3 linked regions of the Anolis sagrei genome follow. The protein of the gene in region 2 interacts with the protein of the main gene of each other region in a pairwise test. Links are inferred from orthologs where the notes say so. Each region holds a gene or a part of one and is shown on either strand. Other genes may lie near its edges.

Region 1 (7,660 bases), on a different chromosome or scaffold from region 2:
AGTTTTCCGGGCAGTATGGCCATGTTCAGGGAGCATTCTCTCCTGACATTTTGCCCATATATACGGCAGGCATCCTCAGATGTTGTGAGGTCTGTTGGAAACTAGGCAAGTGGGGTTTATATATCTGTGGAATGTCCAGAGTGGGAGAGAAAACTCTTGTCTGCTTGAGGCAAGTGTGGATGCTGCAATTGGCCACCTTGATTAGCATTGAATGGCCTTGCAGCTTCAAAGAGACAAGAGTTCTTTCTCCCACCCTGGACACTATTCCACAGTTATATCAGCCCCACTTCCCTAGTTTCCAACATGCCCCACAACCTCTGAGGATGCCTGCCATAGATGTGAGCAAAACATCAGGAGAGAATGCTTCTGGAACATAGCTATACAGCCTGGAAAACTCACAGCAACTTGTGATTCCAGCCATGAAAGCCTTTGTCAACACAAAAACAATATGAATTAGTATTATTTTTTTAAAAGAGGCATACTAGGAACACTTAAAAAAAAGAAGAAGAAGAAGCCTTAGATAAATATCAAACATGGCTTCCTCATCTCAAAAAAACAACCAAATGAAATCAGCACTCTTCTTTATTAGGATGCGTTGATTTTTTTTTTACAGGCAGCTCCCAATTTATAACTATATCACAGTCAGAAACAAGGTGTGTTGTGTCAATTTTAAGAATAGGTCTCATTGGCAGAAGACAGGAGGAATGACTGGCAAGAGCGGGGGAGGCAAAAACAAAGCATAATGGAGAACCAAACCACTTCCTCTGGGCTGTACTTCAATCACGACAGCTGCTTTTTTAAAGGGACAAGAGGGTTGGAGAGATGGCAATTGTCAGTCAATATGCCATGGTGCAGATAGGCAGCTGGGTATTGCGACCAGGCCTGGGCAAATTTGCCCTTCCTCCGGGTGCTTTGGACTTCCACAACAGCCTGAGGCCCCTTCCTTTCCCCCCTCAGCCGCTTAAGTAGAAAAGGAGAAGAAAAGGAAAGGGTCTGTGGCTGTTAGGAAGGGTGGGAGTTGAAGTCCAAAACACCTGGAGGGCCGAGGTTTGCCCACGCTTGGCCCAGAATCTCCCCTTTCCCTTCTCTCCTGCCCAATGCATCCCTCCGAGGGGAGCTATTAGCCTTAAAAAGGGCCCGGATTCAATCGCTTTTCCTGAGGCAAATCAAGACTCCGCCCGCATTGAGAGGAACGACAGGCTGAAGGCTGAAGGGGGAGAAAACGCGGGAACACTTCGGAAAGCGGAGGAGAGAGGAGGAGGAGGAGGGTAGCGAGGAAGGCAGGGAGAGCGAGAGAGGCATGCAATCCAAGCGGGGCCCCCTTTTGTTGAGTGTCTGAGGCCTGGGTCCCCTTTGTGCTCCTTGGCTCTGGAAAAGAAAGGCGCCCCCAGGAAGGCCCTTGGCTTCCCACGCAGCGGAAGAAGGCACGGCCTCGCTGCGGCGCCATCCATCACCCCCGCCACCGCCAAGGCCGCCTCCTCCTCCTCCTCCTCCTCCTCCTCCTCCTCCAGAGCGCAACAAGCAGCCCAAGGGTCGCTGGCCACAGTCCTGAAATCCCGCCACGAGGAGGAAGGGAAGGAAGGAAGGGAGCGCACTGCGAGAGAGAGAGAGAGGGGGGGGGGAGGGGGGAAGGAAGGAAAAGGAAGAGAGGGAAAGGAGAGAAGGGAGAGAAGGAAAGGAAGGGAGGGAGGGAAGCGAAGAAAGGGAGGGAGGAAGGGAAGTGAAGAAAGGAAAGGAAGACAGGGAGGAAGGAAGAATACGGAAGGAAGGGAAAGGAAGGAAAGGGGGAGGGAAGGGAAGGAAAGGGAAGGAAGGATACGGAAGGGAGGGAAAGGAAGGAAGGGAGGGAAATGGAGGGAGGGAGGAAGAGAAGCGGAGGAAGGGAAGGAAGTGAGGGAGGGAAGGAAGGAAAGGGGGGAAGGAAAGGGAAGGGAGGGAAGGAAGAAAAGGAAAGCAGGAAGGGAAAGGAAGGGAGGAAGGAAGTGAGGAAGAGGGAGGAAGGGAGGCGAAGAGAGGAAAGGAGGGAAGGGAGGAAGGAAGGGAACGAAAGGAAGGGAAGGAAGGGAAGCGAAGAAAGGAAAGGGAGGAAGAGAACAGAAGGAAGAGAGGGAGGGAAGCCTCTGCTTCCACAGCCCACCCCCTCAGAATCTGCACTATCCCCCCGCCCCCACCACCACCCCTGAAGGGCGCCTCCCAGACCACAGGGCTTGGCTGTGCGGGGCTGGCCTCTCCCCCCCCCCCCCAGACCTCGAGGGCTCCAAAGGGCAGCGAAGGGGTCTCCTGCCAATCAGGGAGGGAGGGAGGGAGGGGTGCCTCCACCCGGGTCCCTTCCTCCTCACTCACCAGGTCTCGGCGTCCCTCTCCTGGCGCTCCGCCCGCAGGTCCAGCACCTCCACCTCGTCCAGGAAGGTGGCGGCGGGGAGGGGGCCCTCCGGGGACGCCCTTCCTCCCCCTCCCCCTCCTCCTTCTCCGGGCGAGGGCTTGAAGTAGACGAAGGGCTCCCCGCTGGGGCTGGGGCTGAGTGCCGGGGGCGAAGCGGCGTTGGCGCTGGCGGGGAGCGGGTGCTGCTGCTGCTGCTGCTGCTGGGCCTGGAGGGAGGAGAGGAGCAGCTGCTGGAGCGGGGATCCGGCGGCGGGGCCCGGGGGCGAGGCGGAGGCGCGGCTGCGGAGCTGCTCGTTCTGCTTCTCCAGCTTGCGCACCAGCTCCTGCAGCTTCTTCACCTCCAGCTCGGCGCTCACCGCCCCGCCGGGCTTCACCTCGGCCGCCAGGGGCTGCAGCAGCGCGGCCTCCATCCCTCCCTGCCTCCTTCCCTCCGCTGCAGGAGGAACAGGCCTCCCCGCAAAAGGCCGCTCTCCGTCTTCCCGGCCGCGGATGGATTGGCAAAGGCAGGCAGGCAGGCAAGCAAAACAGGCAGGCAGGCAGGCACACAATGGGAACAAAGCCGGGCGGGGAGGCGCCGAGGGGCCGCGCGCGCAGGAGGAGACGGGAGGGGAGCGAGCGAGTGCGCGAGCGAGGGGCGGGGCCTGCCTGCCTATCTGCCCGCGCGGGGCAGGGAAGGGGCGTGGCCAGGGAGAGAACGCCACGCCCCCTCCCCCCTCCCTCCCTTGGAAGGACTTTCCCCCAGACTTTGAAAAGATCAGGAGAGATGCCAGGAAGGAAGGAAGGAAGGAAGGAGGGAGGGAGGGAGGGAAGGAAGGAAGGAAGGAAGGAAGGAAGGAAGGAAGGAAGGAAGGAAGGAAGGAAGGAAGGAAGGAAGGAAGGAAGGAAGGAAGGAAGGAAGGAAGGAAGGAAGGGATGCTGAGGAGGACTCATTGTGATGTCACGCGAGCAGGGGAAAGGATGGAGGAGGTGGCCATGGCTAGGAGGATGCGGAGCCTTTCCTGCAGGCCTGGAGTCGGGAGAAGGGGGAGGTATAAGGATTTCACCACCACCCCCCAAAAATATTTCAGGTTAAAAAAACTTATTTACTCATGAATTTTAACTGGTTAACAAATTCATGAGTAAAGCGGGGGTTTTTTTAACCTGAAACTTTTGGGAAAATGGCATTCATAACCTTTTTGGAAGGGAAAAATGATGTCATATCCTTTTGTCAAATGTGAATCTCCATGAACACCTCGAGACCACCTTTCGAAAACCACTAGTCAAGGAAAGGCTTGCCCTTGTTTAGAACTCAACCCTTTGAATAAGTGATGTTCACAAGTATTCATGTAATGGCACACAGGTAACTTGGCTGTTAAACTGATAAACCAAGCCTTTGAACTTCCAGGGACAAAGACATGCCACTGCACAAAAAAACATATACTTAGCCAGCAGAGTTTTGAAAATGTTTCATAACCTTTTTGGAAAGGATGTCATATCCTTTTGGCAAATGTGAATCTCCATGAACATCTGGCGACCACCATTTGGAAACCACTAGTCAAGGAAAGGCATGACCTTGTTTAGAATTCAACCCTTTGAATAAGTGATGTTCACAAGCATGTAATGGCACACAGGTAACTTGGCTGTTAATCTGGTGAACCATGTCTTTGAACTGCCAGACATGCCACTCCACAAAAAACCAATACTTAGCTAGCAGCGTTTGAAAATGTTTATTTGAATTTGAATTTGAAATTGCAGTTGCCCAAAACATATACTCCTCTTTGAAACCTCTTAGTTTAAAATATGTGCTCAGAGACAAAAAAAAAATCTTCTTTAAAAGACAACATACTTTGTTTACTCACAAACAGGAATTCAATCCATTCTACATGTATTGATTGGGGGACTAGGATATCAAGGAAAGACTGGGGGGAATTGGATCACCACTCTCACCCCAATACCCTTCTTCCTTCTGTTTTCCTAATATCTCCCTTCCTCAACTGGGAACTACATCATAGAGTTGGAAGAGACCTCTTGGGCCATCCGGTCCAACCCCTGCCAAGAAGAAAGAAAATTGCATTCAAAGCACCCCTTTCATGATATTGTGTTGGATGCTGTTTAAGGTTGGCTTTGGGACTTCAGGGCTGGTTGCTCAATGGTTAGCTCTCTGGTGATACAGTTGAGTACACATGCTGTTTACTGCCAAGTCGTGGACAACTGAAATGGACCTTCATTAAGCTTGACTCAAGCTGTGGCCACCAAAAATGCTCAGTCTCTTTTAGTTATAGACAAAGAGTTGGGGTCTGTATGGTATTCCAGGCAGAGGATGGACACTCATTCCCTACATGCACATTTCATTGCCCGAGCATGGGTAAATGCGTATTCTCAACACACACACACACAACTCAGCACATTCACATTCCTCAGCCAGTGGGTGCTTGTGGGTTGAGCAGGGAGCACCAGCCCACTCAGTCAATCCAGCAGTTATCTGAGCATTGCATAACCCAGACATGGGCCAGCTTCGGTCCTCCAGGTGTTTTGGACTTCAACTCCCACAATTCCTAACAGCCAGTAGGCTATTAGGAATTGTGGGGAAGTCCAAAACACCTGGAGGGCCCAAGTTTGCCCATACCTGCCATAACCTCACCTTAGCATCTTGCTCATCCATCACTATCAACAGCAGAAATCACATTTTCTTCCTCTCCTTGACTAAAGGAAGGGAAATGTGGAGGTGGTCCCACCAGTTTAGAAGCATCAGAGGAAAATAGAGCCACAGGTTGTCCATTCTTGTTTTGGGGACTAAAAGCCATTCCCAGTTTTGTTGTTCCCTTTGGCGCAGTGAGCAGTATCCAAGTGAACTCCTTAGCAGTACAGTTCAATGATGGTGTTTGAAACCCAAGTGAGAAAAGGCCCTTCCCGATGGGAAGATAAAGCAATGCTTGATTTAAATGAGACAGTGTATCCACTTACTCAGTGATAAGCCTCATAGAGATGAATGGAATTTCTGATCAGATCGGTACATACATTGGTAAAGTTTCACTACAAGTCGATTGCACTCTGTTGTTCTGTGCCTTCAAGTCGACCCCAACCTATGGTGACCTTATCATAGGGCTTCCTTGGCAAGAACTGTCAGAGGAGGTTTGGTGTTGCCTTTGTCTGAAAATATAGCCTGCGGCAAAAGGTATTCCTTGGTGACCCCACATCCAAGTATTAAGCGGGTCTGACCTTGCTTAGTTTCCAAGATCAGAGAAGATGCGGTGCCTTCGGGGTATGTCAGCACTCACTGTAATCCACAAGGCTTCAGATATTCATAGCTAACTTCTCTCTTTGTTTTCCATGGTCTTAATTTATTTGGAAAACTCATAGTTAAAACAGGTTTTTGCGGTATATTTCTAGTCTTGTGATAGTGATTTAATAGCAAGTTATACCTGTAAAAATAATTTTTCCACCAAATAATCCATCAGAAATGGAATGCTGGGAGTTTACTTTCTCACATTTTTAGGCTGGGCTACATCAGCCTTTCCAAGACTTAGACAAAATCTTATGTTAGTCCCACTCTGTTATGCCAGCTCCACTGGCTGCCAATCCAATTCTGAATACAATTCAAAGTGCTGGTTTTGACCTACAAAACCCTATACGGTTCCGGCCCAGTGTATTTGTCTGAACGGATCTCCCTCTACATCCCATCTCGAAATTTAAGATCGTCTGGGGAGGCCCTGCTCTCGACCCTGCCACTATCACAAGTGAGGTTGGCGGGGACGAGGAGCAGGGCCTTCTCAGTGGTGGCCCCTCACCTGTGGAACTCACTCCCCGGGGAGATTAGAACAGCGACTTCCCTTTTGGCGTTCAGAAAAAAATTGAAGACCTGGATATGGGACCAAGCTTTTGGATATTCTGGCAGCTAAGGAAAGATCGGACGATAAACAAGGGCGAACGGAATAGAATGGATAAACGGACTCTGAACACTGAGCATGAGATTGTTTTGCTATTTTACTATGTATTAATGTTTTTAACTTGTTAATCGTTTAAAATGCTTTTATGTATTGTTTGTTTATTGATTTAGGCATCGACTTGTGCCTTCGTTTGTAAGCCGCCCTGAGTCTGGAAACCAATTATTCTAAATGACTAAGAAATCATTTTTGGACTATTAGTTTTATTTGCTATGTTTATAGATGCTTATTGATTTATTGTATACTAGGCGTCCCCTGCCACGTGTTGCTGTGGCCCAGTCTGTGTATATGTGTTTTGTGTGTGTATATTTAAAAATTAAATAAATCATTCCTGCTGGCTGGAAAGGATGGGAATTGTAGTCCCAGCACCTCTGAAGGTTTGAGGAAGGCTGGATTAGACGGTATTCAGAGCCTTCAAAGCTTAAATATCTCCATTTGGTGCTACACAAAGAAGTAGGCGGCACCTCTGCTACTGCGCTACAGAATGCCATCCTGGAAAGAACACAATAAACCATATAATTAGAGCCCCAAAACTGCTAGTTTGGGGATTGTGATTATGCAAATTTAACACTGCAAAAAATGCAAAGCGTCAATATAGGCTGATTTTTTAAATAATTGGTAATCTGAATGAAAGCTGCACATGTGCTTTCAATGCCCAATCATTTTGGAGAAAGGGTTCCTCTTAATTGGTATATATTAGGTGTAACAATTCCACCATGAAAGCAAGGAAACACTGGGACCATCACAGACTCTCGGGCTCTAAAGCTTCATTCCCATGATGAGCAAAAGTCAAAACACGGGAAATAAATAAATAAATAAATAAAATTAGAATGAGGATGATGATCATGTTTATTTATAAAATGCTTTTTATTTAAAAACACGGACAATCCATTAAATATGATTTCTATAGAGATCATCTGCAAGGATGTATATTTCCAAAAAGCAAATGCTGTCCTGCTGCTCAAAGGATATTTGCTCAGCATTGTCCTACAGAGTCTGCTTCTTCCAGACTCAGAGGAATATCCTAAGATCCTATTGCAATTTACTTCCTTCATATTTTGCTCATAACCTCACTTGTTTATATCTCCCCTTGAATGCCAGCTTTTATGCAGCAGAATTGCTGAATGTTGGTAAGGAGCCATCTTGTTTTTCTTTCTCTAGATGAATGTCAGTGGTTGCTCACAACTGGATGACTGTGAATAAGGTACTTAGAGCAGTGTGGCTTACTATGTGTTTGCTCCATCATTGCTCTTTTTCTCTTAAATTTCCAGGAGGATATGGCTATCTGGATTCAAGAAGGGATTCATGTATCTTTCATAGAAGGGATGGCTTCCAAATGTCTTGTAGGAGGCACT
Region 2 (7,230 bases):
CAGTCTGTTTCCAGGTCCAGTTTATGACAATTTAAAGGTTATGACTTTAAAGCCCTAGATGGTCCAGGTCCAGGCTATTTTAGGCTGACCGCATCCACTTGTATAAACCTGCCCAGGTCCTGAGATTTTCAAGAGAGGTCCTTCTCTCAGTAACACCTCCATTTCAAGCTCGGTTGGTGGGAATGAGAGAGAGGGCCTTTCTTTTTAGTGGCTGCCCCTTGACTCTGGAATTCCCTTTCTTCCCAGGAAACCAGAATGGCCCTGTCCCATGACAGACTTTTAAAGATAAAGGTGTTTAAGATCTAGTAAGGGGATGCTGTGGTTTTCAACTTTGAATGTGTTTTAATGGATTTTAACTGTGAATGTTTTAGTGCTGTTTGTATTTAATTCTGTTTTAAAATGTATAGATTTGTATATTTTAAACTGTATACTAAGGCTTTTATATCAAGCCACTTTGAGTCCCCTTTGGGGATATAAAGCACGGAATAAATAAATAAATAATAACAGCAACAAGGCAGCATGAACCAGCCTTAGGCCCCATCTACACCAATCATTTAATGCAATGCGGCATCCACACAAAAAAACTCCCACAAATCCTATAAAAAGAAACCCTAACTGCGCATCAGTGCTTTGTAGGATCATCATCTGGGCCGCAAACCATTTCCAAGATTTTCCATGAAATTGTCTGCACAGTAAAACTACTTTTCTTCCATGCTGGTCTGAAACTTTTTAGATGTGCCTTTAATGAGAGGAACGGCACAGAGACCGAGGAGGCAAGAGTGGTGCCTGAAAGAGGCCCTTCCCCACCGCCTGCCTCTAACATGATGAAATTCTAAATTTGAAGGTGTTCCGTTTCGATAAGATTCCAGACAGAATGATAGAGTTGATAGCACTATGTAACACAATTTTTGTTCCTGGCTTTTCCTAATTCGTTCTATAATTAAAACATGGGGAAAGTTTATTGAACTGCAAAAGCCTTGCTTTTTGCAGGACATTCTGCAGCACATTCTGCTATAGATTTTCCACTGAATATCAGGTGTCAACCAATTCAACATAGTTTCCGGCAGCCACAAAACGAAGTTTCTGGAGTAGAACAACTACTTTCAAAGTACGTAGCGCACAATTAAACAGGAAAGAACACCTTCAAACCAGGAACAGATTTTTTTCAAATGTTGTTACATAGTGTATCCACATACCAAAAAAGGGAAATGCGAAAGATTGCTCAAACTTCCGTACAGTGGCCCTTATTTCTCATGCCAGTAAGGTAATGCTCAAGATCCTGTAAGGAAGACTCCAGCAATACATGGAGCGAGAGTTGCCAGATGTACAAGCTGGGTTTAGAAAAGGCAGAGGAACGAGAGACCAGATTGCCAATATCCGCTGGATAATGGAGAAAGGCAGGGAGTTTCAGAAAAACATCTACTTCTGCTTCATTGACTATTCTAAAGCCTTTGACTGTGTGGATCATAATAAATTGTGGCAAGTTCTTGGTGGGATGGGCATACCAAGCCACCTTGTCTCTCTCCTGAGGAATCTGTACAAGGACCAAGTAGCAACAGTCAGAACTGACCACGGAACAACAGACTGGTTCAAGATTGGGAAAGGTGTACGGCAAGGCTGCATACTCTCACCCAACCTTTTTAACTTGTATGCAGAACACATCATGCGATGTGCAGGGCTGGATGAATGCAAAGCTGGGGTGAAAATTGCTGGAAGAAATATTAACAACCTCAGATATGCAGATGACACCACTCTGATGGCTGAAAGCGAGGAGGACCTGAGGAGCCTTCTAATCAAGGTGAAAGAAGAAAGTGCAAAAGCTGGGTTGCAGCTAAACATAAAAAAACCCCAAGATTATGGCAACAAGAATGATTGACAACTGGAAAATAGAGGGAGAAAATGTGGAGGCCGTGACAGACTTTGTATTTCTAGGTGCAAAGATTACTGCAGATGCAGACTGTGGCCAGAAAATCAGAAGACGCTTACTTCTTGGGAGGAGAGCAATGTCCAGTCTCGATAAAATAGTAAAGAGTAGAGACATCACACTGGCAACAAAGATCCGCCTAGTCAAAGCCATGGTATTCCCTGTAGTCACCTACGGATGTGAGAGCTGGACCTTAGGGAAGGCTGAGCGAAGGAAGATCGATGCTTTTGAACTGTGGTGCTGGAGGAAAGTTCTGAGAGTGGCTTGGACTGCGAGAAGATCCAACCAGTCCATCCTCCAGGAAATAAAGCCCGGCTGCTCACTGGAAGGAAGGATACTAGGGACAAAGTTGAAGTACTTTGGCCACATCATGAGGAGACAGCAAAGCGTAGAGAAGACAATTATGTTGGGGAAAGTGGAAGGCAAAAGGAAGAGGGGCCGACCAAGGGCAAGATGGATGGATGGCATCCTTGAAGTGACTGGACTGAATTTGAAGGAGCTGGGGGTGGTGACGGCCGACAGAGAGCTCTGGCGTGGGCTGGTCCATGAGGTCACGAAGAGTCGGAGACGACTGCACGAATGAACAACAACAGTGTAATCAAACCTTAATGGCAGAGCATTCGTTGACTGGTTCGTCTATTTCCATTGGTTCTGCCCTGAACTTTTACACTGTAGCAGCGAAACAATTTGAACAATAAACAAGGAACCCTTCGGGAGTCTCTGAGCGTGTGCCACAAAGCAGGCAGTGTACGTTGACCGGGCCTCCCCCCGAGTTCAAGTCAGGGGACTCAGAACTTCCCTAACGCAGGGCCTCATTCGTCCTCAACACGGCTCTGGGCGCCGCTCCTCACCTGAACCCACCGGCCGCCGCCATTCTCCCTCACGCGCTCCTCAAAGGGCCAATGAGGACGCTCTAGGCTCCCGACCTGGGTGGGTCTGAGCGGAAGGAAGCGAGCGCGGCGCCGGAAGTGCTCCTTTTGGCGGAAGGACGGGTAACGATCGAAATCTCCGTCACGTTCCACCAACCCAGAAGCCCAAACGCGTGCTTCCGCCCTCAAAGGCCATGGCATGACCGCCCTCAAAACTCCAGAAGAGGACGACTTGGGCCCGCCAATTGCGGCGCTCCCTGTCTCCGGAAGCTAAGGCTGTAGCGGCCCTTTGCCCCGCCTTGTGGCTCTGCCCGCTTCCGCCTCCGTGTCTTTTCCTGCAAGCTGGGCGTTCTTGCCGTTTGCGGGGAGCGATGGAGCTGCTGTGGCTGGTGGAAGGACTGGCGGCGCTGGCGGGGGTCGGGCTGGTCCTGGTGAGCGTGGCAGGCTGCTGCGGGGCTCTGGGTGGGCTTTTCGGGCACCCTTCTCCGTCTCTAGGGGCTCTGAGCGAACAACCCCACGCTATCCTTTAAATAAGGTTCATAATTACAGCTGATGGTTTGGAAAGGCCATTTGAAAGAACAACCTATTCCTTGGTCGTCTTTGAAATGAGGTGCTGGGTTTGGGCCTGCCACTTTTGGACTCTCGCTTGCTGGGGTGTTCCAGCGAGTGTCTCTGTAGATCTAAGAAAACTATGTCTTGATTTAAGTCGTTGACGTGCTGGCTGATACCCAAACAGGGGATGAGCTGGAGATGTCTCTGCCTTGGTCCTTTCACTATTGGCTGCTACTTCCCGGCGGATGTCAGGTGGTGCAATACCGGCTAAGCAGTGTAATTTCTCCAGTGGTGTGGGGCACAGACACCCTGTGATAATGCAGCATGTCTAATTAAGAGCCACATCTACTGTTTTAGTGTGGTGAGATGTGTTCCACACTGGGCATGCATACTCAGCAGCAGAGTAGCATAGCGCAAGGGCAGATGTCTTCACTGTGTCTGGTTGTGATCCCCAGGTTGTGCCAGTCTGCTTTCGTATTATGTTGTTTCTAGCGCCCACGTTTTGTTTGATGTTCAGGCAGTGCTTCTTGTAGGTCAGAGCACGGTCCAAAGTGACTCCCAGGTATTTGGGTGTGTTGCAATGCTCCAGTGGGATTCCTTCCCAGGTAATCCTCAGAGCTCGGGATGCTTGTCTGTTCTTAAGGTGAAAGGCGCATGTCTGTGTTTTAGATGGATTAGGGATCAGTTGGTTTTCCCTGTAATAGGCAGTAAGAGCACCTAGAGCTTCGGAGAGCTTCTGTTCTACCATCTCAAAGCTCCCTGCTTGAGCGGTAATGGCACGATCATCAGCATAGATGAAACTCTCTGTCCCTTCTGACAGTGGCTGGTCATTTGTGTAGATGTTGAACATGGATGGAGCAAGCACGCTCCCCTGAGGCAGGCCGTTCTTCAGTTTCCGCCATCTGCTTCTCTGGCCCTGGAACTCCACAAAGAAGCTCCTGTTTTGTAGCAGGTTTCCTATGAGGCGGGTGAGGTGGTAGTCCTTTGTGATATTATGCATTTTTCTCAGGAGGAGGTGGTGGTTCACAGTATCATAGGCTGCTGACAAGTCTATGAAGACAGCTCCTGTGATCTGCTGCCTTTCAAAGCCATCTTCTATGTGCTGAGGGCCAATTTACGGTCTCTCAGACTATAGTCTGAAAAAACATGGACAAATTCCAGTGCACACTGCAGGTGTCTTATTTGTAGTGCAAAAAAAAAATCCATGAAAGAACAAGACAATATTTACAACGAAAAACAATTCTAACCATCACAAACTTACCAGTATTTCAACGGAAAGTGTGGATTTGCTTTTGGCTGATTAGAGAGTCAAGTTAATTAGGATTGTCATGTGCCTTCGAGTCGCTTCAGACTGAAGGCGGATCTCAGTCTTAAGTTTAGGGCAGGGAATGGGTGAATTACCTTGGAGGGCCTTATCTGGCCCACAGACCTTAGTCCCCTTGCTTATATGATACCCACCATGATAATCAAGATTAAAGTAAAATGACCAAAGTTGGGGCATCTTCCTCCAGAATAGAATCCTTAATGCCCATTGGCACTCTTTCAGCTAAACCACACTGCATTGGAGCCCCTGGTGGCGTAGTGGATTAAAGCCCTGTGCTGGCAGGACTGAAGACCGACAGGTTGCAGGTTCGAATCCGGGGAGAGGCGGATGAGCTCCGTCTATCAGCTCCAGCTCCTCATGCGGGGACATGAGAGAAGCCTCCCACAAGGATGATAAAACATCAAATCATCCAGGCGTCCCCTGGGCAACGTTCTTGCAGATGGCCAATTCTCTCACACCAGAAGCGACTCCGGTCGTTCCTGACACGACAACAAAAAAAACCCACACTGCATGGCAAAAGCAATGAACCAAGGGAACACTCCAGCAACCCGCTCAAGTGGAAGAGGGAGTTGGGAGGGAAATAACCCACATTCTCTGCATCTCTTAAGATGCAGGCTCTGAAACCAGATGGAGGCCATCCTGTGTGTTGCATATAAGCACTATCCAGGCCTCAACCTGGTTCGACGGCTTGCCATCAAACCATCCATACCACTTCCCCTATGTTGGTTTTGAACTAGTCAGTATAAATCACTATTTCTTAAACTGTGGGCCCTGATCCCGAATGGAATTTCCTTTGCTCAGTGTTGGGGTCATGAGAAATTTGGCAGCAGTAAAAGGTTTCTGAACACCCTGGTGTATCTTCGGGCATTTACAGTTGAAGATGTAATGTCCCTAGAAGAGAAATGATGCTTACCCCTGGAGAGGGGTACATCCTGGGAAACAAATCTTCCATAGAAGTTGGATGCTCCCCCCTCTTCATTTTTTGCTGTATGCTTTCACTCCTCTATATCTATGGATTCTGCATGCATGGAAAAGGCAAAGTATGCATGTTTATCTGTTTCTACCATTAAGGCTGTTGCTAGATAAAGTGGCCCTCTGTGATGCCACTGGTTGGGGCTGTTGCTAGGGGAAGTGGCCCTCTGTGATCTTGTTGGTTGACATGCATAAGAGAACCATGTTGTCATGGAGACATTGTAGGAGCCCCCAGTGGTGCAGTGGGTTAAACCACTGTGCTGGCAGGATAGGTCGCAGGTTCAAATCCGGGGAGAGGCAGATGAGCTCCCTCTATCAGCTTCAGCTCCTCATGCGGGGACATGAGAGAAGCCTCCCACAAGGATGATAAAAACATAAAATCATCTGGGCGTCCCCTGGGCAACGTCCTTTCAGATGGCCAATTCTCTCACACCAGAAGTGACTTGCAGTTTCTTAAGTCGCTTCTGACATGACAAAAAAAAATGGAGACATTGTGAGGTAGGCCTTCTCAGAGCTGGAGAAGGGAGACAGTATGTGGGGAGCAGTCCTAACAACACCCAGGTAATGCCAGGTATACTTGATTTTGCCATTTTTATAAGGGGTACCATTGTATTAGGCCCTTGGGACTTGAGCATCTACAGATTTTTGTATCCACAGGGGAGTCTGGAAACCAAAGTGCCCACTGTACTTAATAACACTGTTCAACGGAGAAAAAGTTGCGGGCCTGAAAATAGTTGTTCTTTTATGATTTTGGGGTGCTGAAAACGAAAATGACATTTAAAAATGTATATTGGCTCTAGTTTTTATGATATAAGCAATCACGTGATCACGTATGGTTGAAAAAAATGCATGTTGCGACTTACACTATGGACGATTCTAGAAAGTTGCGGGCCTGAAAATAGCTGTTCTTTTATGATTTTGGGGTCCTGAAAACAAAAATGACATTTAAAAATGTATATTGGCTCTAGTTTTTATGATATAAGCAATCACGTGATCATGTATGTTTGAAAAAATGCATGTTGCGACTTACACTATGGAAGATTCTAGAAAGTTGCGGGCCTGAAAATAGCTGTTCTTTTATGATTTTGGGGTCCTGAAAACGAAAATGACATTTAAAAATGTATATTGGCTCTAGTTTTTATGATATAAGCAATCACGTGATCATGTATGTTTGAAAAAATGCATGTTGCGACTTACACTATGGAAGATTCTAAAATACTCTAGAAAGTTTGATGACGCAGTATTAGTGCCATGTACAAAAGCCAGAAAGCCCTATTTAAGGCCAGACTTTTGAACGGTGAGGGTCAGTCAGTTGAAGACTGAGACAGTATCGTTAAACATCGTTTTACATTGTTCTTTTTACTGTAGTTATGCCTCACACGTGTGTAAATAAAGCACTATGGGGAAAAGATATCAAGGCAAATGGACTCCGTCAATGCTGTCAGACTACTGCTGGAGCATTGTAAGAAACAATCCTTTCCTTGAATACAAAAGAAAAGTCAAGAGAAGCAAACAGGATATAAACTAAAGTCACGATTAAAGCAACATTTAAACTTTCAGACTTTTCAACTGCATTAGGCCTACTAATA
Region 3 (7,660 bases), on a different chromosome or scaffold from region 2:
AGCTTTAACCCACTGCGCCACCGGGGGCTCCGTAGACTCATATAATCCTGTTCAAAGCAGATAATGTGGATTTTATTCATGTCAGGAGCGACTTGAGACACTGCAAGTCACTTCTGGTGTCAGAGAATTGGCCATCTGCAAGGACGTTCCCCAGGGGACGTTGCCCGGATGTTTTACCATCCTTGTGGGAAGCTTCTCTCATGTCCCTGCTTAGGGAGCTGGAGCTGACAGAGGGAGCTCAACCTGCTCTCCCCAGATTCAAACCACCTGTCAGTCATCAGTTCTGCTGGCACAAGGGTTTGAGAACCTCTGGAGGTTCTCAAACTTTTTTAACAGGTCACAGTCCCTCAAACTGTTGGAGGGCTGGATTATAATTTGAAAAAAAAATTACACACTACACATATCTTATTTGTAGTGCAAAAACACTTCAAATCAATACAATAATTAAAATGAAGAACAATTTTAACAAATATAAACTTATTGATATTTCAGTGGGAAGTGTGGGCCTGCTTTTGGCTGGTGAGATGAGATCGTTGTTGTTGTTGTTGTGTGCTTTCAAGTCATTTCAGACTTAGGTTGACCCTGAGTCAACCTTTGATCATCTGGATTATATAGCAGTATAGCCTAATATAATCCAGTTCAAAGTAGATAGTGTAGATATTTTTTGTGTCAGGAGAGACTTGAGAAACTGCAAGTCACTTCTGGTGTGAGAGAATTGCCCATCTGCAAGGACGTTGCCCAGGGGACACCTGGATGTTTTGATGTTTGCCATCCTTGTGGGAGGTTTCTCTCATGTCCCCACATGAGGAGCTGGAGCTGACAGAGGGAGCTCAACCAGCTCTCCCCGGATTCGAACCGCTGACCTGATTATCTTCTTTGATAATCTGGATTATATGGCAATGTAGATCCAGCCTCAGCCTAGAAAGAAAGCTTCCTCTTTATTAGTCTTTGTTGGGGGCCACAGTGGTCTGTGTGAACTGATGGGTTTGAAGTACTACAAATCCCATCAACCTGTGTCCATTCTCCCCCAAACCTCACCAGGACGTAAAGGGGATCATGGGGGTTATGTGTGCCAAGTTTGATCCAGGTCCATCACCCATGGCCTGTGAAATTGGCAGCCAATCAGACAGCTGCCACATACACTGTCCTCCCTCCGCATACAAACACTGACTTTTATTATATACATAGATTTAAACCAATGAGAAAAGCTTTTAAGGAGCTATTCCATTTGGCTGATTGAAAGGAAGGAAAAGAAGCCCCTCTCTAGCCTTAATCATAGAATCATAGAATCATAGAATCATAGAGTTGGAAGAGACCTCATGGGCCATCCAGTCCAACCCCCTGCCAAGAAGCAGGAATATTGCATTCAAATCACCCCTGACAAATGGCCATCCAGCCTCTGCTTAAAAGCTTCCAAAGAAGGAGCCTCCACCACACTCCGGGGCAGAGAGTTCCACTGCTGAACGGCTCTCACAGTCAGGAAGTTCTTCCTAATGTTCAGATGGAATCTCCTCTCTTGTAGTTTGAAGCCATTGTTCCGTGTCCTAGTCTCCAAGGAAGCAGAAAACAAGCTTGCTCCCTCCTCCCTGTGGCTTCCTCTCACATATTTATACATGGCTATCATATCTCCTCTCAGCCTTCTCTTCTTCAGGCTAAACATGCCCAGTTCCCTAAGCCGCTCCTCATAGGGCTTGTTCTCCAGACCCTTGATCATTTTAGTCGCCCTCCTCTGGACACTTTCCAGCTTGTCAACATCTCTCTTGAATTGTGGTGCCCAGAATTGGACACAGTATTCCAGATGTGGTCTAACCAAAGCAGAATAGAGGGGTAGCATTACTTCCTTAGATCTAGACACTATGCTCCTATTGATGCAGGCCAAAATCCCATTGGCTTTTTTTGCCGCCACATCACATTGTTGGCTCATGTTTAACTTGTTGTCCACGAGGACTCCAAGATCTTTTTCACACGTACTGCTCTCGAGCCAGGCGTCCCCCATTCTGTATCTTTGCATTTCATTTTTTCTGCCAAAGTGGAGTATCTTGCATTTGTCACTGTTGAACTTCATTTTGTTAGTTTTGGCCCATCTCTCTAATCTGTCAAGATCGTTTTGAATTCTGCTCCTGTCCTCTGGACTATTGGCTATCCCTCCCAATTTGGTGTCGTCTGCAAACTTGATGATCCTGCCTTCTAGCCCTTCATCTAAGTCATTAATAAAGATGTTGAACAGGACCGGGCCCAGGACGGAACCCTGCGGCACTCCGCTCGTCACTTCTTTCCAAGATGAAGAGGAAGCATTAGTGAGCACTCTCTGTGTTCGTCCACTTAACCAATTACAGATCCACCTCACCGTAGTTTTGCCTAGCCCACATTGGACTAGTTTCCTTGCCAGAAGGTCATGGGGGACCTTGTCGAAGGCCTTACTGAAATCCAGGTACGCTACATCCACGGCATTCCCCGCATCTACCCAGCTTGTAGCTCTATCGAAGAAAGAGATCAGATTAGTCTGGCATGACTTGTTTTTGATAAATCCATGTTGACTATTAGCGATGACTGCATTTGTTTCTAAGTGTTTGCAGACCACTTCCTTAACAATCTTTTCCAGAATCTTGCCCGGTATCGACGTGAGGCTGACCGGACGGTAGTTGTTTGGGTCGTCCTTTTTTCCCTTCTTGAAGTCCGACTCCTCTTCCTCTTGCCGCTCCATGCCCAAAAATAAACCCTCACTGAGGCTGTCCTCGAATGACCTTCCTTTCCAGAGACGCAAACCTACAGAGAAGCATTTGCCACCCGCTCATAACACAATCTGGGATCAGGCTATGCCATGCGATTCCCAGCAATTCCCTGCTTGCCTTCACCTGGCCCCAGGCATACCTGAGAGGAGAGAGAAAGGCCTCCAAAGAAGAGCTGTGCTTCTTTCTCAGGCACTGCAAGCATCCGAGCGCTTTCTCCAGGCGGAAGCACATCTGGTCTCCCTGTTGCAACTTTATTCAAGAGTGGAGCTCCTCCTTCCTCTGGCCTGATGGGCAGTCGCCACAGCGAATGGGGATGCAATGGGACCACTCCTATTGTCTTTGCGGCAAGGTTCAAAACCACTTCCACAGAGGGTCAGGACAGGCACATTTCAGTTCCAGATCAAAGAGATCACTGACTTAGGTGTGACCAGAGGCAGCCCTTGGTAATTTTTATTTTGGCACCCCCCCCCCCCCCCCCCAACCAATCACTGATATATATTTTCTGTTCGTGGACAACAAGTTAAAATGAGCCAACAATGTGATGTGGCAGCAAAAAAAGCCAATGGGATTTTGGCCTGCATCAAGAGGAGCATAGTGCTCCATGACTCCAGGGAAGTCATGCTCCCCATGCTCTACTCCGCCTTGGTTAGAGCACACCTGGAATATTGTGTCCAATTCTGGGCACCACAATTCAAGAGAGATGTTGACAAACTGGAATGTGTCCAGAGAAGGGCAACTAAAATGATCAAGGATCTGGAGAACAAGCCCTATGAGGAGCGGCGTAAGGAGCTGGGCATGTTTAGAAGAGAAGGCTGAGAGGAGATATGATAGCCATGTATAAATATGTGAGAGGAAGCCACAGGGAGGAGGGAGCAAGCTTGTTTTCTGCTTCCTTGGAGACTAGGATGCGGAACAATTGCTTCAAACTACAAGAGAGGAGATTCCATCTGAACATTAGGAAGAACTTCCTGACTGTGAGAGCCGTTCAGCAGTGGAACTCTCTGCCCCAGAGTGTGGTGGAGGCTCCTTCTTCGGAAGCTTCGGGTGATTTGAATGCGATATTCCTGCTTCTTGGCAGAATGGGGTTGGACTGGATGGCCCATGAGGTCTCTTCCAACTCTTTGATTCTATGATTCTATGATTCATGACCTCCAAAGAAGGCATATGCTCAACTCTCAGCAGGCAAGTATTCACAGTATTCTGGGACCAGCATGGAGCAGGATTGATGGATTCCTTAGCAAAGGGGACCATGACTACTGGGGCATACTAGGCAGACATTGTGGGAGGCCATCCAAACCAAGAGACAATGTGGCATTCTCATTAAAGGTGTCCGTCTTCAGCAAGACAATGCATCAGGGAGGAGGGAGCAAGCTTGTTTTCTGCTTTCCTGGAGACTAGGACGCAAGGGAACAATGGCTTCAAACTACAAGAGAGGAGATTCCATTCTGTTCTGAGGACCAAGATCTATTGGAAGTCCCCAGTGTCAAGACCTTGCGTCTAGCGGCAACCAGACGCAGAGCCTTCACAGCAGTGGCGCCATCAGTCTGGAATGCTCTGCCACCTGAAGTTCGTGCCCTGCGGGACTTACCAGCTTTCCGCAGGGCATGGAAGACATACCTGTTTCAACAGGCTTATAATGTTTGATACTGTTGTTTTTAAATTGTTTTAAATTGCTTTAAAACTTTGTTAGATTTTAGCTATTCTTGTAAGCCGCTCCGAGCCCCAGGGGAGTGGCGGCATATAAGTTTAAATAATAAATAAATGAATAATAAACTTCCTGACTGTGAGAGCCGTTCAGCAGTGGAACTCTCTGCCCCGGAGTGTGGGGGAGGCTCCTTCTTTGGAAGCTTTTAAGCAGAGGCTGGATGGCCATCTGTCAGGGGTGATTTGAATGCAATATTCCTTCTTGGCAGAATGGGGTTGGACTGGATGGCCCATGAGGTCTCTTCCTACTCTATGATTCTATGATTCGTCGTGGGAGTTCTGTGTGCCATATTTGGTTCAGTTCCATCATTGGTGGAGTTCAGAATGCTCTTTGATTGCATTATTTATTTATTTATTTATTTGCTGTATTTGTATACCGCCTTAATCAGACTATCGGCGACTCAAGGCGGTTTCCAACAAAACAGTATACAAATTAAACATTAAAACAACATAAAACACAACAAGCAATAAAAACAACATATTGTCAAGCATTGTCCAGTTCCATCGTCAAATCGTCAGATTTCCTATATTAGTTATCTATATCTGTTACTCTGTATTTGTGAACGCTTGCTCAAATAGCCATGTTTGTTTTGTTTTTTATTTAATTTTTATAGTGCAATTTTTACATTGAAAGAGGGTGAAAACCAGATCGGGGTATAGGGTGGCAACCTGTGTTGGACGGGGTTACACTCCCCCTGAAGCCACAGGTCCACAGCTTGGGAGTCCTCTTGGATTCATCACTTACGCTTGAGGCTCAGGCGTCGGCGGTGTCCGGGAGGGCATTTGCACAATTGAGACTCGTGCGCCAGCTGCGACCATACCTCGCGAAGGCTGATCTGGCCGGGGTGGTCCATGCCTTGGTCACCTCTAGATTGGACTACTGCAATGCGCTCTACGTGGGGCTGCCCTTGAAAATGGCTCGGAAATTCCAACTGGTCCAACGGGCAGCAGCCAGGATGTTAACCGGGGCTCATTACAGAAAGAGGTCAACCCTCCTGTTCAAGGAGCTCCACTGGCTGCCGTTTATTTTCCGAGCCCAATTTAAGGTGCAGGTGCTTACCTACAAAGCCCTGAACTGTTTGGGACCACCCTACCTGCATGACCGCATCTCCGTCTATGAACCCGCACGTTCACTTCGCTCATCCGGAGAGGCCCTGCTCGTGATCCCGCCTGCGTCGCAAGCGCGCTTGGTGGGGACTCGAGACAGGGCCTTTTCTGTGGTGGCCCCCCGACTCTGGAATGCCGTCCCAAAAGATCTTAGACAGGCCCCTATATTGGCAGTCTTCAGAAAGAACTTGAAGACCTGGCTGTTCCAATGTGCCTTCCCAGATTAGGAATCTCCAATACCAAGTCCCAGAAGCACTTTAGTAGAACTGAGATTGCTGCACACCGCACACTGCACCTATTTTATAATCCTACATACCTCCTGCCACATCAGCACTTTTAATCTTGTACCCATTACTCTGGCCTGGCCCAGTTTTATAGTGTCTTGATGTATTGTTTATTGTCTGTTGTTTATACTGCTTAACTGTTTTTAATTTGCTTTAGGTATTGTATTGTTGTATGGTGTTTTGAGGCCTTGGCCTATGTAAGCAGCATCTCCCCATCGAGATGCTAGCGGGGTACAAATAAAGTAATAATAATAATAATAATAATAATAATAATAATAATCTTGCTTCCGAAACGTTAAGAGGAAGAGAGCAGATCTAATTCCTCTAGGGAGGGTGTTCCATAGCTGAGGGACCACCACTGATAAGGCCCTGTCTCTCGCCCCCGCCAATCATACTTGTGACGAAGGCGGGGCCGAGAGCAGTGCCTCCCCGGACGATCTCAAAGTCCTTGATGATTCATAAGGGGAGATGCATTCGGACAGGAAAGTTGGGCCAGAACCGTTTAGGGCTTTATAGGCCAAAGCCAGCACTTTGAATTGAGCCCGGTAGCAAACCGGCAGCCAGTGGAGCTGACGCAGCAGGGGGGTTGTATGCTCCCTGTATGGCACTCCGGTGAGTAATCTGGCTGCTGCCCGTTGGACTAGTTGAAGTCTCCGAACAGTCTTCAAGGGCAACTTCACGGAGAGCTCATTGCAGTAGTCTATACGGGATGTAACCAGAGCGTGTACTACCGTGGCCAAGTACAGGCGCAGCTGGCACACAAGCTTTAATTGTGCAAATGCTCCCCTGGTCACCGCCGAAACCTGAGGTTCCAGACTCAGCGACAAGTCCAGGATCACACCCAAGCTGCAAACCTGCGTCTTCAGGGGGAACGTGACCCCATCCAACACAGGCTGTAACCCTATGCCCTGTTTGGCCTTACGACTGACCAGGAGTACCTCTGTCTTGTCTGGATTCTGAATTCTTGTCTGAACTATACATCCCAGTAACTACAACTTGCATATGTCAAGGTCTATTTCCCCCCAAGAGCGCCTCAAGAGCGCCCCTGGGCAAAATCTATACTGCAAATGCTTACTTTGCGTAATGGGTTGAGCCGCCCCTGGGTGTGACAGAGACCTATGCAGGCCATGGAATATCAACATCTTTGTCAATGATTCAGACGACGGAATATTTATTTATTTAGCATGTAAGAACCAAATTGAGACAATAGCTATAATGTGTAGAAAAACTACAAACAAAGTTAAAAGCTCGGCATTATGCTAAATGTCCTTTTTGTTGTTGTTGTTGTTGAAGGCTTTCATGGCCAGAATCACTGGCTTGCTGTGAGTTTTCTGGGCTGTCTGACCATGTTTCAGGAGCATTCTCTCCTGAGGTTTCACCCACATCTATGGCAGGCCTCCTCAGAAGTTGTCAGGTCTGTTGGAAACTAAGTGGGGTTTATACAACTGTAGAATCATAGAATTAGAGGGTTCTATGGAGGCTCCTTCTTTGGAGGCTTTTATGCCCTGGAGACCTCATGCGCCATCCAGTCCAACCCCATTCTGCCAAGAAGCAGGAATATTGCATTCAAAGCACCCCTGACAGATGGCCATTCAGCCTCTGTTTAAAAGCCTCCAAAGAAGGAGCCTCCACCACACTCCACTGCTGAATGACTCTCACAGTCAGGAAGTTTTTCCTAACGTTCGGATGGAATTTCCTTTCTTGTAGTTTGAAGCCATTGTTCCGTTTCCTAGTCTCCAGGGCAGTAGAATAATGTCCAGGGTGGGAGAAAGAACTCTTGTCTACTTGAGGCCAGTGTAAATGTTGCCACTGGCCAGCTTGATTAGCACTGAA

The links.
Region 1: the proteins of EXOSC8 (region 2) and SLAIN1 interact in binary tests that used the Homo sapiens proteins (3 or more experiments, as listed by UniProt). The link is inferred for Anolis sagrei from reciprocal best matches to the Homo sapiens genes EXOSC8 and SLAIN1.
Region 3: the proteins of EXOSC8 (region 2) and DUSP23 interact in binary tests that used the Homo sapiens proteins (3 or more experiments, as listed by UniProt). The two-hybrid records come from large-scale screens. The link is inferred for Anolis sagrei from reciprocal best matches to the Homo sapiens genes EXOSC8 and DUSP23.

The regions. Positions count from the first base shown.
Region 1 is NC_090023.1:127,617,480-127,625,139, forward strand, and holds the start of SLAIN1 (SLAIN motif-containing protein 1), read right to left. Parts: upstream 3,016-7,660; 5' UTR 2,793-3,015; coding exon 2,344-2,792; intron 1-2,343. UniProt on the Homo sapiens protein: Microtubule plus-end tracking protein that might be involved in the regulation of cytoplasmic microtubule dynamics, microtubule organization and microtubule elongation.
Region 2 is NC_090022.1:166,884,932-166,892,161, reverse strand, and holds the start of EXOSC8 (exosome complex component RRP43), read right to left. Parts: upstream 3,010-7,230; 5' UTR 2,995-3,009; coding exon 2,776-2,994; intron 1-2,775. Other genes in the region: ALG5 (dolichyl-phosphate beta-glucosyltransferase), read left to right, coding at 3,165-3,224. UniProt on the Homo sapiens protein: Non-catalytic component of the RNA exosome complex which has 3'->5' exoribonuclease activity and participates in a multitude of cellular RNA processing and degradation events.
Region 3 is NC_090032.1:13,169,653-13,177,312, reverse strand, and holds the start of DUSP23 (dual specificity protein phosphatase 23), read right to left. Parts: upstream 3,016-7,660; 5' UTR 2,872-3,015; intron 921-2,871; exon of another isoform or gene 864-920; intron 1-863. UniProt on the Homo sapiens protein: Protein phosphatase that mediates dephosphorylation of proteins phosphorylated on Tyr and Ser/Thr residues. In vitro, it can dephosphorylate p44-ERK1 (MAPK3) but not p54 SAPK-beta (MAPK10) in vitro. Able to enhance activation of JNK and p38 (MAPK14).